Linked DNA regions of Tamandua tetradactyla. The protein of the gene in region 1 purifies or fractionates together with the protein of each later gene. This does not show direct contact. Links are inferred from orthologs where the notes say so. Each region holds a gene or a part of one and is shown in the gene's direction. Other genes may lie near its edges.

Evidence for each region.
Region 2: the proteins of PPP1R15A (region 1) and EIF2S1 purify together in Homo sapiens (affinity purification with western blotting; 4 studies listed by BioGRID and IntAct, with this or other methods). This does not show direct contact. The link is inferred for Tamandua tetradactyla from reciprocal best matches to the Homo sapiens genes PPP1R15A and EIF2S1.

The regions. Positions count from the first base shown.
Region 1 is NC_135342.1:12,180,816-12,188,780, reverse strand, and holds the start of PPP1R15A (protein phosphatase 1 regulatory subunit 15A), read left to right. Parts: upstream 1-4,947; 5' UTR 4,948-5,421; coding exon 5,422-7,617; intron 7,618-7,965. Other genes in the region: PLEKHA4 (pleckstrin homology domain-containing family A member 4), read right to left, coding at 1,133-1,240, 2,260-2,343. UniProt on the Homo sapiens protein: Recruits the serine/threonine-protein phosphatase PPP1CA to prevents excessive phosphorylation of the translation initiation factor eIF-2A/EIF2S1, thereby reversing the shut-off of protein synthesis initiated by stress-inducible kinases and facilitating recovery of cells from stress.
Region 2 is NC_135338.1:24,873,389-24,880,944, forward strand, and holds the start of EIF2S1 (eukaryotic translation initiation factor 2 subunit 1), read left to right. Parts: upstream 1-4,551; 5' UTR 4,552-4,721; intron 4,722-5,118; 5' UTR 5,119-5,210; exon of another isoform or gene 5,211-5,219; intron 5,220-7,556. Other genes in the region: ATP6V1D (V-type proton ATPase subunit D), read right to left, coding at 3,951-3,991. UniProt on the Homo sapiens protein: Member of the eIF2 complex that functions in the early steps of protein synthesis by forming a ternary complex with GTP and initiator tRNA. This complex binds to a 40S ribosomal subunit, followed by mRNA binding to form a 43S pre-initiation complex (43S PIC).

The DNA.
Region 1 (7,965 bases):
GGAATAAAACCCACATTCCGTCCCCTGCCTTACGGGGCCCGAGAGCAGTGGATCTCCCACCAGAGCTTGCCTGAGGCACCCCAGGAGGCTCCTTCAAACTCAGGTTCCCGGGCCTCACCCCCCAGAGGGGCTGATTCCATAAATCTAGGGTGGGCCCGAGAGCTTGTATTTCTAGCAAGTTCAGGGTGATAGTGAGGCTGCCGGTCTGGGCACCCCACTTTGAAAACCCGTTGCCCCTCCTACCTCTCTCCTCCCTGCCTTTGCCTGCTGTGTGAGGCCTTTAACTTTCTAATTCCCTCTGCTCCCAGATCTTAGGGCAGCGAGCTCCTTGTCATTTGGTTCTCAGCTCAAATGTCAGCACCTCCGACTGGACTTCCCTGGCCAGCGGTCAGTTGTACCCCCATCCCCCAGGCTTTGATCACAGCCCCGCCCTGTGACTTCTTCACAGCCCTTACTACAGGTGGAAATTATCATGTCTATTTATTCATTTTCTAACTTACTAGCCATCCTTGCCTCACCACCATCCTGAAAATAACAGAAATTTGTCTTATTTGGGTGGTGTGTCCCCTGGTCCCGGGCACATTGTAAGTGCTCAGGAAATAGTGAAGGAATGAACTACAGACTGTAAGCTTTATATCAATGTTCGAGTCCTTGAACTTGATAACGGCACTTAAAGTGGTTCCATAAAGGATAGCCTTCTTAGGAAATGTACGTGGCAATGTTAAGTGTTGAGGGTACATGATGTATACAACTTATTCTCAAGTGTTTAGAAAATAGATAGAAAGACATATACAGATGGATGGGATGACAGAGCAATTATAAGAAATGTGGCAAAATGTTAAAGTTGGTAAATCTCGAGAGGAGATAAAGGAGTATATCGGAGTTCAAATAGGTTTTTGTAACTGTCCTGTAAGCTTGAAATTATTTCAAAATAACAAGTCTTTTTTTTTAATTAGTCATTGAATAAATGAATGACAGAATAAGGGGGAAGGCAGTGACAGCAACAAAAGAAATATATTTTGGTGCTTGGAAGGAAAGAAACAGGGAACCATTTGTGGCACAGGCTGGAGACGGTCCAAGGGAACTTCCCCTTCCCCTGCTGACCCCCCACGCCCTCCCCACGCCCCTGCACCTGCTTATGAAGCCAGCCTCGGATGTGCACGGGGAGGTTGGGGTCCCTTCTCAGTGCATTGCCCCTCTTCCCAAAGGCGTGGACCTTGCTGACTGCCCGGGTGGGCTTCTGAGGACGGAAGGGGGATACAAGTGAGCAGGGCCCTGGCTGGACTCTTGAGAAACCAGGTCTTGAAACCAGAGTTGGATGTAGGTAAGGCAGGGTTGAGAAGCAAGGAAGAGGCTCCTGGCCACTGGGGAAGCAATTTGGGAGAGGATGCCCTTGGCCACCAAAACCAGAGATATAGTGGAGCCATTGGATCCCAACTGGAAATGGTGGCTGGGAGGTCCCCTTCATCAAGAGGAATGTCCCCATTCTGAGGCCCTGGGGATGGAGCTGCCTGGATCAAATGACACAGTTTCACAAGGCTCCCCAAGCCTCGGTGCTGGACAGTGATATTCCTTAGCGGCCGTGTCCAGGCTTGAGGGGGACTCCAGACCCCCCACCTCATGCTCAGAAGGGGCTGCTTATCCAGATTGCCACAAGGACACCCTTCTGGGAAATTGTGCCATAGACCAAATCTCTAGACTTTGAACTTGGAAACTGGAAACACATCAGGGGAACGGCAGGAGACCGAGGAAATGAGTGTTGTTGCTGAACCTCTGGCTGGGGTGACAATTTGGATGCCAGGCTCTCGGGCCTGCTGGGATTTTATGGCCAGGGAGGGATTCTTTCCTAACTGGGTAGATCCAAGGGCTACAAACAGGACAGGGAGTCCTCACCTTGGTCAAGAGTAGCCACCGATTCTGAGCTCCTGATGGGGGGGGGTCTCCTCCTTGCTGGGGAGTGGCTTTATCTTAGCAAGCAGGGCCAAGCAGGGTTGTTACTCTGGCTTAGAATTAGGAAACTATGAAGGGGTGGGGACAGAGGTGGGAGTGCCTCTGAATTCCTAGCCACAGCTGGTCAGCAATTTGGGACCATACCAGCCTGGCAGACCCTGCTGCTAAGTATCCTTTGTCCGCTGCAGTCAAGACTAGGAGTCTGGGATGGTGCAGAATCCCGGGCCAGGGAACAGGAGGAGGGGCATGCGGAGGAGATGATCCCAGAGCCCCACCCTCCTCCCCATCCCCGCCAGGAAGCTCTCGAACCTTGGTGCTCAGGTTGCTGAGCGAGGAGATGGTGGATGCACTGCTGGCGAGGCTGAGGCTGCTCCGAGGCCGGCCCTCCTCCATCGAGGGCTTGCCGAGAGAAAGAAAGGGACTGTGTCTCTGCAGCTGACCCGGCTGGGGACAGAGCCGGGAGTCAGGGGCCCGGAGGTCGGAGGAGGCTGAGGAGAAAGAGTCTGTTGTCTGGGGACCAGGGTGGGGGGGTGGGAGGCAGGGAGGGGAGGTCCTGGCTTGGGGAGCACATACCAAGAGCAAGGCCAAGAGAGGTGGGCGGCATTGGCAGCTGCTGGGGAGGGGGCAGCTGTTTGCAGCCAAGACAGAAAATAGGGGCTCCTTTCTTATTGCCCCCTTCCCTCCAGCCAGGAATTTGACCCTCTCTGGGTTTAGGAACTCCCACTGCCTTTCTAGCCACCCCAGGCTGCCTGTCTCCTGCCCTCCAGGTTCACCCCCAAACCATCTCTGCCAACACCCCAAGCCAAGCCCTGAGGCACAGCCCGGACAGCCCCTCCCAACCCAGCCAGGGAACTTACCCAGCTCTGGAGTTCTAACGACAGGGGGCAAGAGGGCAGTGTGGGTTCTGGGGTGCCCAAGAGGCTGGCTCTCTAGACACAGTCTCCCCACTCCTCTCTCTCTCTCTCTCTCTCTCTCTCTCTCTCTCTCTCTCTCTCTCTCTCTCTCTCTCCTCACCTGTTCACTCACCCTCTCTTTTTGTCTGTCTCTTAGAATCTCTCTCTCCCTCTCTTCCTCTTCCTCTCTCTCTTTCTTTTAAACTGTCTCTCTCTTCAGTCTCACCTACTCTCTCTCTCTCTCCCCAATCTCTGGCGCATCCAGTCTCTCCCTCACTCATTCTCTCCTCCCTGTATCACATTCCCTCCCAATCTTTTTGTTTCTCTCCCAATCTTTTTGTCTCCGATTCAGGGAGTCTCTTCAGTCACTCTCTTCCTGAAGTCTCTGTTTCGCTCTTTCTCTCCATGTGTGTCTTGCTGGGTCTCTCCCTCCTTCCCTCTTAGTCTCTTCCTCTTTCTTTTCTCTCTCTCAGTGACCCTCCACGTCTGCTGTTTCCACGCTCTCTGCAGATTCTCCTTCTCACTTTCTCTCTCCCTTCCTCTCCCAGTTTCTCTTTCCTCTCTGCTGGTCTCCCTTTCTCTCCCTCCCTCTGCCAGCCGCCCACGCCCGCTATCTTCCCTCCCAATCCCGGCTGTCCCCGCCCCTTCTGGCTTCCTCAGCCTGACCCCTGGCTCAGCTGTCCCCATGGCTGAGGGGAGGGGCTGTGGGCCCTGACTCCTGGGTCCCCTAAGGGCTGAGGGGGCTCTGAAATGTTTGGAGAGTAGGAGCTGGGGCCTGGACTCAGGGTCCCAGTGGGCCACCTGCAGTCAGGGGCCTGGGCCACTGGCGCCCTGAAAGGAGGGGCTTGCATCTTGCAGGGGGTAAGGAGCCTGGACTCCTAGAGCCTAGGAGGTATTGGACCCCTGGGTGCCCGAGAGAGTGCAGGTTAGGACTCAGGGTGTCTGGTTGTGAATAGAACCTCAGTCTGCAAGTGTGGCTTTGAGTGGATGGAGCTGGGGGCAGTTTGTCCAGGTGCCCCCCGGGGAGGAGGGGTTGGCCCGGACTCCTGGATTCTGCATCTAAGTGATCAAACCTGCATCTCAGATGCAGATGAGAATTCTGTCCTGGGTCGTGGGCGACACCCATCACCTTGGGTGTGACAGGTTTCGGACCAGGCAGGGGAACAGGCCTGGGGCACTGGAACTTATGGCAGAAGCCCCATCCCCCCACCCCCACCCCCACCCCCACCCCGAGGTTCAGCTGCTGCTATCGGGCCAGATGATTCCAGCTTTCAGGAGCAGAGCTTTGCCATAAATTTGAAGTGAGTGAAATCCTGAAGTGGAGCCTCCTGCGGGTCTATCTACTTTATTTGCAGAGCACCTACTATGTGCCAGCACTGCTGGGGCCACTGAGAAAAAAGTGGCGAGCAAGCCAAAATGCTTGTCTTCTTGCTGCTCCCACGGTTCTCATTTGGAATAAATCTGGATTCTACTTGTGACTTCATTCCCAAGCCTCAGTTTCCTCGTCTGTGCAATGGGAACGGGGATACCCGCTCACAGCCGGGAGGAAGCGGGCCGCCTATGGCGGTGGGAGACTGCAGACTGGTTAAACTGGGGTGGGATTGCGTCCGTCTGGAAAATCGGGAGCAGAGGTTGAGCTATAGAGCGCGCCGTTTACGCCTTTGATTGACAGCTCGCGTGGTTGGGGGCGTGGCCACGCTCGGAAATGCCGCGGTGACGTCACGAAGCTCGGGAGTCTCCGCAGGGTTCAGTTCTATTTTTGCCCTTTCCAACTCCCCGTCTTTACGTGTAGAAACCCCGCCTCCGCGCGTGACGTCAGCACGTCCGGCCGCGAAAACATATAAAGGCCTTGCGGCTGGGGCCATCAAAGGTTACCAGCCGAGTTGTTGATTTCATGCGCCATATCGTCCGACCCCGCGAGCCTCGTCGCCATTGCAGCTGCGGCAGCCGGAGATCCTTTGAACCCCGAGTCCGACGCCTCTGAGGGCGAAATGAAAGCGTCGGCTTCCCGAGCCGCCTGGACCTGCGATCGCTTCTGGCAGCCCGAGCCGGCGCTCCTGCCTCCTGGGTGATTCGCTGCCGGTGCGTGAGGGGTCGCAACGCCGGAGTCCCCAGGCAGCTGGGGACCCGGACTTAGGAAAAGAGGGAGGGTTGGGAGTCTGGGGTCCTGGACCTGAGTCGGCGGGGAGAACTTGGAGGTGAAGGAACCATCTGGGGGTCCGTGTTTGAGTCTCTGAGGAAGGAGGGCGGTGGTGGTTTGTCACCTTTTAAGAGAAGGCGAGGACTAGGGACTGGGGCTTTGTCCTCAGGGGAAGCAAGGGAAGGACCCTTTTCCTTGGCTCTGGGTCGGAAGGAAGAGGGGACGGAGTGGAGAAGGGGCTTGGACTCCTGGGTCTAAGGAACGAGAGAAACGGACAGCCAGACTCGTGGGGATGACGTGAGGAGAGAGAAGGGACCTAAGGGACATGGGAGTGGCCAGAATCACAAAGGAATTTATGGCAGGAATTCTTATGTTGCTAGTTGTTGTTACTGTTTCCGTGGCTGTGACTCACCCTCATGCCCTAATTCCATCCCCTAAATGGCTCCTAAACTTTATTCTGTTTTCTTTTCCCCCTCTTTTTTCCAGCCCAAAGGGATGGCTCCAAACCAAACAGCACGTCAGGCCATCCCCTGGAGGGATACTCACCCCTTCTTCTTCCTGTCCCCGTTGATGGGCCTCCTCAGCCGGGCCTGGAGTTGCCTGAGGGGCCCTGGGTCCCCAGAGCCCTGGCTGGTGGAAGCAGCAACAGGAGCTGACCAGGTGGAATCTGGCCTGGAGGGAAAAGCTAAGGCTTCTCTGGCCACCCACCTTGCCCCCTGGGACAGGCACCCTCAGGAGAAGACCGAAGATAGTGGTGCAGCTGAGGAGGCTGGAAAAGCAGACTGGAAGACCTGTCCTGGCCCACAAGCCACCAGTTCTCTTCTTGAAGCCTGGGGTTTTTCTGATGATGTTGAGGAAGAGTATAGCAAGGAAGAAGCAACCGATGTTGCCAGAAAGCAGAGAAGTACACTTGCCGAAGGTGGGCCTGCTCCCCCATCCCCCACGTTTCTGATGGGAACCCTGCAGTATCCTCCTGGGGAGGAGGACTCTGAGGAAGAGGAGGAAGTAGCTGAAGAAAAAGAAATAAGCAAGGCCTTTCTCTGTTCTCCATCACTAGACCCTACACCCTGGGAGTATTGTCTAGGGGTGGTGAAAAAGGAGGATGAGGATGGAAAAGCTATGAAGAAAGAAACTGCTGGGACCTCTACATCCCTCTTATCTTCGGCCTCCAAGCCCAGTGCTTGGGTATGTTGTCTACAGGAGGTAAAGAAGGAAGAAAAAGTTGAAAAGGATCAAGGCACTGAGGCAGGAAGAACAGAGAATAAAGAAGCTACAGAAACTTCCATTTCCTGTTCCTCTTCAAAGTCTAACTCCAGGGCCAGGGAGTATTGTTCAAGACAGGAATCTAAGGAGGAGAAGGATGAAAAGGTAAATGAAGCAGCTGAGAAAGAAGCTGCCAAGCCAGAGATGCACTCCTCTATGCCCATGCAGCGGTCCCTGCTAAGGGTGTGGGAGTATCAACCCAGTAGGAACACAGAGGAAGAAGATGGGAAGGATGAGTACAGTGCTTCAGGGGCAGCTAAGGCAGAGGGAACAGCTGAGGCTTCCTCTTGCAGCCCACCTACAAGTGTCTTCCTGAGGGCCTGGGTGTATCACCCAGAGGAGGACACAGAGGAGGAAGAAGAGGATGAAGACAGTGCTTCAAGGGCAGCTAAGGAAGAGGGAGCAGCTGAGGCTTCCTCTGACATCCCACCCACGAGTACCTTCCTAAAGGCCTGGGTGTATCACCCAGGAGAGGACACAGAGGAGGAAGAAGAGGATGAAGACAGTGCTTCAAGGGCAGCTGAGGAAGAGGGAGCAGCTGAGGCTTCCTCTGACATCCCACCCACGAGTACCTTCCTAAAGGCCTGGGTGTATCACCCAGGAGAGGACACAAAGGAGGAAGAAGATGAAGGAGAAGATGAAGATGAAGGAGAGGATGAGGACAGTGTTTCAGTATCAGATGAGGAAGAAGTAGTAGCTGAGGAAGAGGGAGCAGCTGAAGCTTCCTCTGATATCCCACCCATGAGTGCCTTCCTGAAGGCCTGGGTATATCACCCAGGAGAGGACACAGAGGAGGAAGATGAGGACAGTGATTCAGAAACAGCTGAGGAAGAGGGAGCAGCCAAGACTTCCCCTTCCAACCCATCCACAAGTGCCTTACTGAAGGCCTGGGTGTACCACCCAGGAGAAGACACAGAGGAGGAAGATGAGGGCAGTGATTCAGGAGCAGCTGAGGAAGAGGGAGCAGCTCAGGCTTCTTCCATCCCACCCAAGGGTGTCTTCCTGAGGTCCTGGGTGTATCACCCAGGAGAGGACACAGAGGAGGAGAATGAAGATAAAGGCGATGATTCAGAAGCAGCTGAGGGAAGAGAACAATCTGACTCAGAGCCGTGTCCCTCCTTTCAAGCCCAGACTACCTTCTTAAAGACCTGGATATGTCAACCTGGAGAGGACACTGAAGGAGAAGGAGCTGCTGAGGAATGGGGAGAGACTGAGCCCCACCCCTTCCAAGTGGCCATCTATTTGCCTGGAGAAAAGCCACCACCTCCCTGGGCTCCTCCTAGGCTGCCCCTCCGACTACAAAGGCGGCTCAAGTCCTCAGAACCCCCCATCCGAGATCCAGACCCTGAGAGTCCTCTAAAGGCCAGAAAGGTGGGTGCTAGGGGCCCAGGTTCTTGAGTCTTAGTTAAGAGGGGGCAGGGAGCTGAAACTCCTGGGTCTGGGGGGAAGAGAGGCTGTTGGCTGGGACTCCTGGGCCCCAAGTGTGTTGCATGCGGTTGCATGTGAACTCTGTCGGGAGGACTGTGTGAGCCCTAATGCAATCCTTTGCAAGAGGCTGGGCCCCTGAGGTACCTGTGGGAGGAGGCAGCAGCTGTGGCTCATGACAGCCCCAGGAAACCACCCCTGTCTTCCGTTGATTCAGATGGGAAATCCCATGGCAGGCGCGTTGCTAGCCTGATAGCAAGCTTCATTCCATAACTGGTTTTCTTCTTTCTCTGT
Region 2 (7,556 bases), on another chromosome or scaffold:
TGTGACACCTGAGATTTAGAGTTAGAGCTCTGAAGCTATGAAAGTCAATAGTATCCCATACAGTAACTGTTTAAAAAATTGAAAAAGTGATCAGCCATCAAACAGAGATATGAATGAAGCTTATCTGCATAGGACTAAAGTATATCAGAAGACTGGGTAAAGGATGATATCATCCATATTTTAAAACTTCAACTTCTGTGTGAGACTAAAGGGAGAGATGATGTTTATTTGATGCCAAGTTTATATGTTGGGTAGTGCATTTCCTAATTTAACTTGTATGGTCAGTTTAACTGAACACAGTAAGTACATGGAATCTTGAATAGGGCATGAGATTCTGTAGGTTTGTCTAGAGTGATGCCTCAGTAAATCCCAGAAAGATTTGAACAGTGAATAAAAAGGTATTTGCAAAGTCTCCTTGTGGGAATGGTGAGAAAGGGGGAAAATTCAATTTCCCCAAGCGGAGAATTCTTGATATTCTCATAAGCAGTGGGGACAATCAAAGCAATAGGCTGAGCCCCCAATCTTGGGGTTTGTTCATGTGAAACTTAACCCTTGCAAAGGACAGGCTGAGCCTACTTAAAATTAGACCTTTCTCTTTCTCCCTCAAGAGAACCTCTTTTGTTGCTCAGATGTGGCTTCTCTCTCTCAGGCAAGATGACAAGCAAACTCACAGCCCTCCCTCTCTACATGGGACATGACTCCCAGGAGCGTGGACTTTCCTGGCAATGTGGGACAGAAATCCTAGAATGAGCTGGGACTCAGCACCAAGGGATTGAGAAAACATTCTCCGCTGAAAGGGGGAATTGAGAAATGAGACAAAATAAAGTGTCAATGGCTGAGAGATTCCAAACAGAGTTAAGAGGTTATCCTGGAGTTTATTCCTACACATTAAATAGATACCACCTTTTTAGTTAAGGCTTAACAGAGACGCTGGAGGGAACTGCCTGAAAATGTAGAGCTGTGTTCCAATAGCCATGTTTCTTGAAGATGATTATATAATGACACAGCTTTCGCAATGTGACTACATGATTGTGAAAACCTTGTGTCTGATGCTCCTTTTATCTACCTTATCAACATATGAGTAAAACATATGGAATAAAGATGAATAATAGGGGGAACAAATGTTAAAATAAATTTAGTAGATTGAAATGCTAGTGATCAATGAAAGGGAGGGGGCAAGGGGTATGGTATGCATGAATTTTTCTTTGTTTTCTTTTTATTTCTTTTTCTGAATTGATGCAAATGTTCTAAGAAATGTTCATGATGATGAATATACAACTATGTGATAAAAAAGTTCATATTGAAAAAACACAAATACTAATCATTTTATTAATCTGTAAATGACTCTACGTAACAAATGGCATATATGACTCCCGAGCAGTGGCAAATTAAACTTATACTGAAGTCTGCTAAACTCATTTTAATATTTTCCCATCAGAAACCAATACCATAGTCAAGAAAGTAACAGCAGAAATTGACATTTCTATTCTATGCTAGATATAATTTAATGATGAAATAAAAATGTTTATACAATAAAATTTAACAGCAGATTGGATGACCAAGGCACTTATAGTGATTTGTAAAAGGGGACATAATTTCATATCACTGGTGGTATTAATCAATGCAAAATAGCAATTATTATACCTTGAGGCTAAATTCTCAGATTATACTGAAATTCTTCTGCAATAGAGTTAAAGTTACTGTCACAATTTTGTAGCCGAAAGGGACTTCAAATATTATATTAAAGATCAAGAAAATGAGGCTCAGAGAAGTGGAGCACTTTCCCACAGTTACTCAGAGAAGAAAAAGCAGGGCAGGAACTTGAATCACAGATTTCTGTCTCTAGTGATCTGCCCAAGGCTCAAAGTAAGGGACAAACCTAGTACCTAACCATACGACATGCTGCCTCCCAGTAAAGATTACAAGTAGCATCAGATGATAGCTCTGTTTGAAAGAGCTATCAGTAGTTGACTTTGCACCGACTGTCCTCATCAGAAGTCTAGCCAACTAAAGCAGGTTGAGCTTCCAGCATGAGCAGGAATGTGTACATGAAACACACCGTATTGTTTACACTAAATGCCAGAATTTGGGCTCAAAGACCTGGATCAAATTTAAGTCAAACCCTAGTACTGAAGATTCCATGAAGTTCACAGTATGAAGGTGAATAGATTAAGTTCTCCACGCTGATTTTTATTTCCTCCTAGGTAACGGCATCTCTGTGACATGAACAAATTTCATTTATTGAGACTCTAAAAATGACATACACTCTTAACCCAAGGGGGCTTATAGCTAATATGTAATAATAGAACCTGGATTTGACAGACCTCTGTTGACTCCAAATCCTTCATGCCTCTTTTGCTTTTACTCTAAACTTGTTTTGATTTCTCTTGTGCATAAGTGCGCCTAAGCAACATTTAACAAAATAATTTTGTCTTATCCTTACAGTATTTGAACTGTCTGTATAACAGTAATCATCAGTATATGTTCTAGCCCAGGTCTTAAAAATTTTTTCTTTTACAAGTTTCAGAGCTACTTACCCCTACAAAAAATATTTGACCTTCAGGATGATGACTTTCTTTCCAGATGAATCAAAGACATATGATTCCATGACAAAGCACCTTTGTCAGGCCATAGGAAAATATTTAGAGAAGGAATTACTTCCTGCATCTGATTTTCCTCTCAGGCAGCAAGCTACCTACTCTCAAGTACTCTCAAACTGCAATTTTTGCTTTCACATTTTTCTCACCTCTAAATCCCAAACAAAGTAAAAGTTCCAAAATAAAAGCAAGAAATGTTAACATTCTTATCTATTTTCACATCTATTGCCCTTCTACACAATTAGTTTGCTTCTATCTAATACATACAGCTAAGAGAAAGCCAACAGGTGAAGGTAAAGAAAGCATTCATTTTATTAAGAGCTGTAGCCAACCTAGCAGAGATGGGCCTTTGAGTTTGAATATAACTGTTTAATTGTATTCTCAGATTCTATGTAGGACGACAATCAAACAATCTAATGCCAGAGGCAAATCTGATTTTCTGCCTCCTCACTGAAAAAAAGGAGAGAAGGTGGAGGACAACACAAATAAGAACATTTTTACTCTCTGCAACTCCACAATCTGTTAAGGGGATTTGAGAAAAATTTTCAAACTGGCCAAAAACCTGGGGTACAGTTCTTTCTTCTGCCAAAGAGTTCGGACCCAAAGAAATCGTATCCTACGGCTAAGCAGACTCCAAGGCAAAAATTTGTTCAAGCAACATTTTTTGTGTACTTTCTAAATGTGTAAATATTGAAGACACTTTCAACCTGGAGTGCTAACATTCTAGCGGGAGAGAAATGTATGTAAACAAATATCACTTCATCAGGCAACGGAGGTCTGAACAAGGTGTAGTGGTGATGGCGTGCCTCAGAAACACAGGATGTCTTTTCAGGGCAGGTGGAGTTTTGGAAAATGAATAGGACGATTCAAGATCTCTGACGTCCATACAAGAGTGATTCGATTCTATCGCTAATTTGGTTTACATGCCCCTTCTCCACTCCAGTAAACTTCCCTTTTCAGATAATTTACCAAATCTCATTTGTTTGTCTTCCTCACCACTAAACTGTAAGCTCTGTGAGGACAGGAATGCGAAGATTCAGTCATATAAATCCAATGCCCGTCTCAGGGCCTGGCACATAGCAATGTTTCGTGAAATGGGTGACTTTTCACAAAAGTCAGGGCGCCTGTTCCTATAACCTGAATCATTCTGTCCGATCTGTAACATTCAAGAGGACTGGGTGTGGGCGCTCTTCGGGAGCGTTCACCACAGACCACGAAGTAAGAAGCTGAGGGCAGTTCAAGAGGGACTCAAGAAACAAGGTACCTAGCTGCTGGTTCAGAATATGGAGGTACCGCATTCCGGGCAGGCGTTCCTGAACCTACGGGTGTCACGCGACACATTCTCTTACTTACATTCGCGAGGGAAAGATCTCAATTCGGTCTTTGCCCGACATTCTGACGATGACTGTACGGCTCTGGTCCCCGCCGGGCAATCGTGGCTGCAATAGTTCCAGTCCTCGCACGCCACTACCGGAGTCAGGGGGTTGGGTCACGAAACCCCTCCCGTTGCTAAGAGGCAGCGGGATATGCACTCTTCACTTCCGCTTCCTGTCGGCATAGGAGGAGGAGGGCTGGGAAGGAGGTAATGCCCGGATGTTGAAGCTCTGGCTCCGCGAACTGTCACTGGATTCCGGTTCGCCTGTAGTCCGATGGCTGCGCCTGGCGCTGCGTGCGCCGGCCTAAAGGGAAGAGAACACTCCTTGTCTTCTTCCACTTTCCGTCTTTGTCCACAGCGCCACCACGTGGTTGACGAAAACTTTGATAAAGGATTCATTCTTCAGGGACAAGGAGTCACAGTCCTACCTCTCGCGCGCGCCTTAAAGATTTCTCAGGGAACAATAAAGATAACGAGAACGAATACTATTCAAATCCTGCTGTGACCCTCATTCTTCCTAGTTCTCGGAGGACCTCGACTCTATGATCAGTGATGTAGGGCCTCTACTCTGTTAGCGCTTGCGTGGTACGAGGTGGTTCCGCATGCGCGGTGGGGTCGAGCAAAGCGCACGCTGAGGCGGATCGGTGGTTGGTGCGGATCGGTGGCTGGTGCGGGTGGAACAGGTTTCATCTACCCGGTTACAGATCGCGGCGCGGGACCCCAGTACGGAATTCGGACACATTCCTCAGGTGACTGGTGCCCCAGCTCGGTTTCTCCAAGAACTCACTTTGGTTTGTGTCCTGTGACCTGGGTGGTCGAAAGAGGGTAGGCCCCGGGCTAACACCCCCTCCCTTTCCCGTCCGTGCGCGGGAAGTATTTGGACACCGCCACCGTCCCCCGGATGTGTAGCAAGCCTCCTTGCCGGCTCGGTGTCGGTCTTTCAGATTCCAGAGGCATCACTGTACGTGCGAGGAAATCTGGTGATGACAAGTTAAACAGTACACCCTCTTCAGTGGGTTTAAAGTGAGGATGACTTAAGGTGGGGCGGCTTGGAGAGGACGCTCTGACACCTCCCAGCTCCAGGACGCTGAGTGCTTTGTTTTTTTCCGGGCCTGAGAATTCCATCCCTTTTTCCTTCCTCCCCAGTAATACTACCAAAATTTTTCCTGCCTCTTGATGAAGGCAGAAGTGTCCAGATCGAATCAGTGAGAACGGCCACCGTGTGGAAATGACCTGAGGTAACGAAGGTCCGAGAATAGTTTATTCATTTGATAATTTGTTTTTAAAAATCGAAGTTTAATTACCCTATCGCTCTAGTTGTATGTTTCTGTAGCAGGCGTTATCCCTTGAATTGAAACTAAATCCTATTACTGAGGTCTGTTACTCTTAGTGTCAGTTTACCACATTTTGGCGATGATACGACTAGAACTGTAGAATTACACACTGTGGGAATATAAAAGCATAAGATAGGAGTACTTGAGGGTTAAATACTTACTCAGCCTTACATCCCTTCAATTAACTTATGCTGTTTTAATTTTCATTTAACAGGAAACATTGTTTCTTGGAGAAAATGTGTAACAGAAATCTTGACATTTTTTCCCGACTGAATTGTTATTCAAGAAAAAAAATTGTTTTTCAGAAGTTTGGGCATTACTTATACATAACTTTGGTGCTTGTTCTCAGTTCTTTTTTTGCCAAGACACAATCGTGATTGTCAAAAGTTTTGGCTGCCTGATCCACAGTAACGTTTGCAATCTTGATGATACCTCAACTACAGCGAAAAAGTTTGTTTTGTGTAGTATTCATATACTAAAATCTAGCATTCAGAAAACACAACTGGTAAGAGCTAAATTAAAATTATCAGTGGTGTTGTTGTTATGCAGTAAGCTTTAATTTGGAAAAGATGGACTTCCTGCTTTTATTGTGGTGAGTTATGACTGGTTTAAGAAAGAACTTCTAACCTATTACATGAGCAGGCAAAATTTATTGACAATGCAGGAATCTGAAATTAGCGTATAGTTCAGTTAATACATTTTGAAAGTGGATGATGCTCTAGATTTGATGTCAGAAGACTTAGGTTTAGCTGCTGCACATCCACTTGTTAAACAGTTGTCCTTGAGAAAGTCATTTAATATTTCCATTCCTGGGTTCCCTGTTAATCGAGTGCTATACTGTGCTCCTTTCAGAACACCTTATTTTGTATTTAATTTGCTTACTAGTTTGTTTCCCACTTTATGCTTAATTCCTTAGGTAGGATCTTTTCTTGTATCAACAGTACATAGTAGATATGGTTTAATGTATTAAATTATAAAATGGAATTAAGACCTCCTTTGCCTTTTAATATCTTATGTTTTGTAGAACTTTACAGTTTTCAAGATGTTTTCGCATATATTTGATCTTGTTTAACCCTTAACAAACCTGTCAGATATGTGGCACAAACAAGAAAATTGGAGTTCAAAGAGGGTACCTTTCTCAAGCAACCACAGCTAATAGCTAGGACCCAAGCACTGGAACTCAAGGCTGTTTCCAAAGTTCACTGTACTGCTTGCCTGGCTTGAGGCTTGTTGTTGAAGACAAAATATTCTTTAATCATAGTGCCTTGAAAATGATAAAGGACTGAATGGATACCTAGTGTGGTTTCTGGTTTCCTGACTGTTAAAAAAAATTAGTGTAATTATTAGTATTTCATAAGTAGATGTATTCAAATCTCTCAATTAAAATGTAGTTTCTTTATGAAGTTAATTATTTCTTACTAGCTACTTTTTTCTTTAATGTTAATAACATACAGAAATCATCCTTTTAGCCCAGGTATTACAAAGGATCTTACTTCCTAAAGAAGTATCACTCATCGCTCCCTTCAGGATTCTTTCACAATATTGCCTGTGTTCTTTAGCCATAAACTTAAGCCTTGCTTCCCCAAAATTACCAACTTTGATATTTGAAGAAAGTTGATGGGTAAATGTGGTTAACACCTGTTAAATCTTTTAGAACTGTCATGCATTTCCATTACATTTATTTTGACATACAATTTGAAACTTTTTGGCTCTCAAATTTGAGCACTTTATTTATAGACGTCTGTCTGACAGCAATTGTTCGTCCTCTGCCTCTCTCCCAAAAAACACCCTGTTTAAAAACAAAACAACTAGCTCAGCTGTATCTTGGTGGATAATTCTGGCCATTGACTGTCTAGTTTCTGTCATTTGCTAGATCCCTTTTGTAGGCTGCTACAAAAGAAATACATCTCTGCCACTGTTACTTATATGCTGCTTTTTTGGCTGTTGTTAAACAGGATAGGTTAGTACTAATAGTGTGCACCAATCTGTGGTATATGTTTCAGAGTCACATATGTATGTTAGTTGCTTTTTGTTTAAGTTAGATGTTTCTAATTGTAATCTTTTTGTTGATAATACTGAAAAGAATAGCTGGGTGGATAAGGGCAGATTCTGGATCGAAACTGGGTTCAAATTTTGGCCCTATCAGTCAACAGTAGTATGAAGGGACAAGTTGCTTAAACTGTACTTCAGTTTCTTCATCTATAAAATACGGAAAACTAGGGGGGGAGTGGTACCTTGGAGAGATAAACA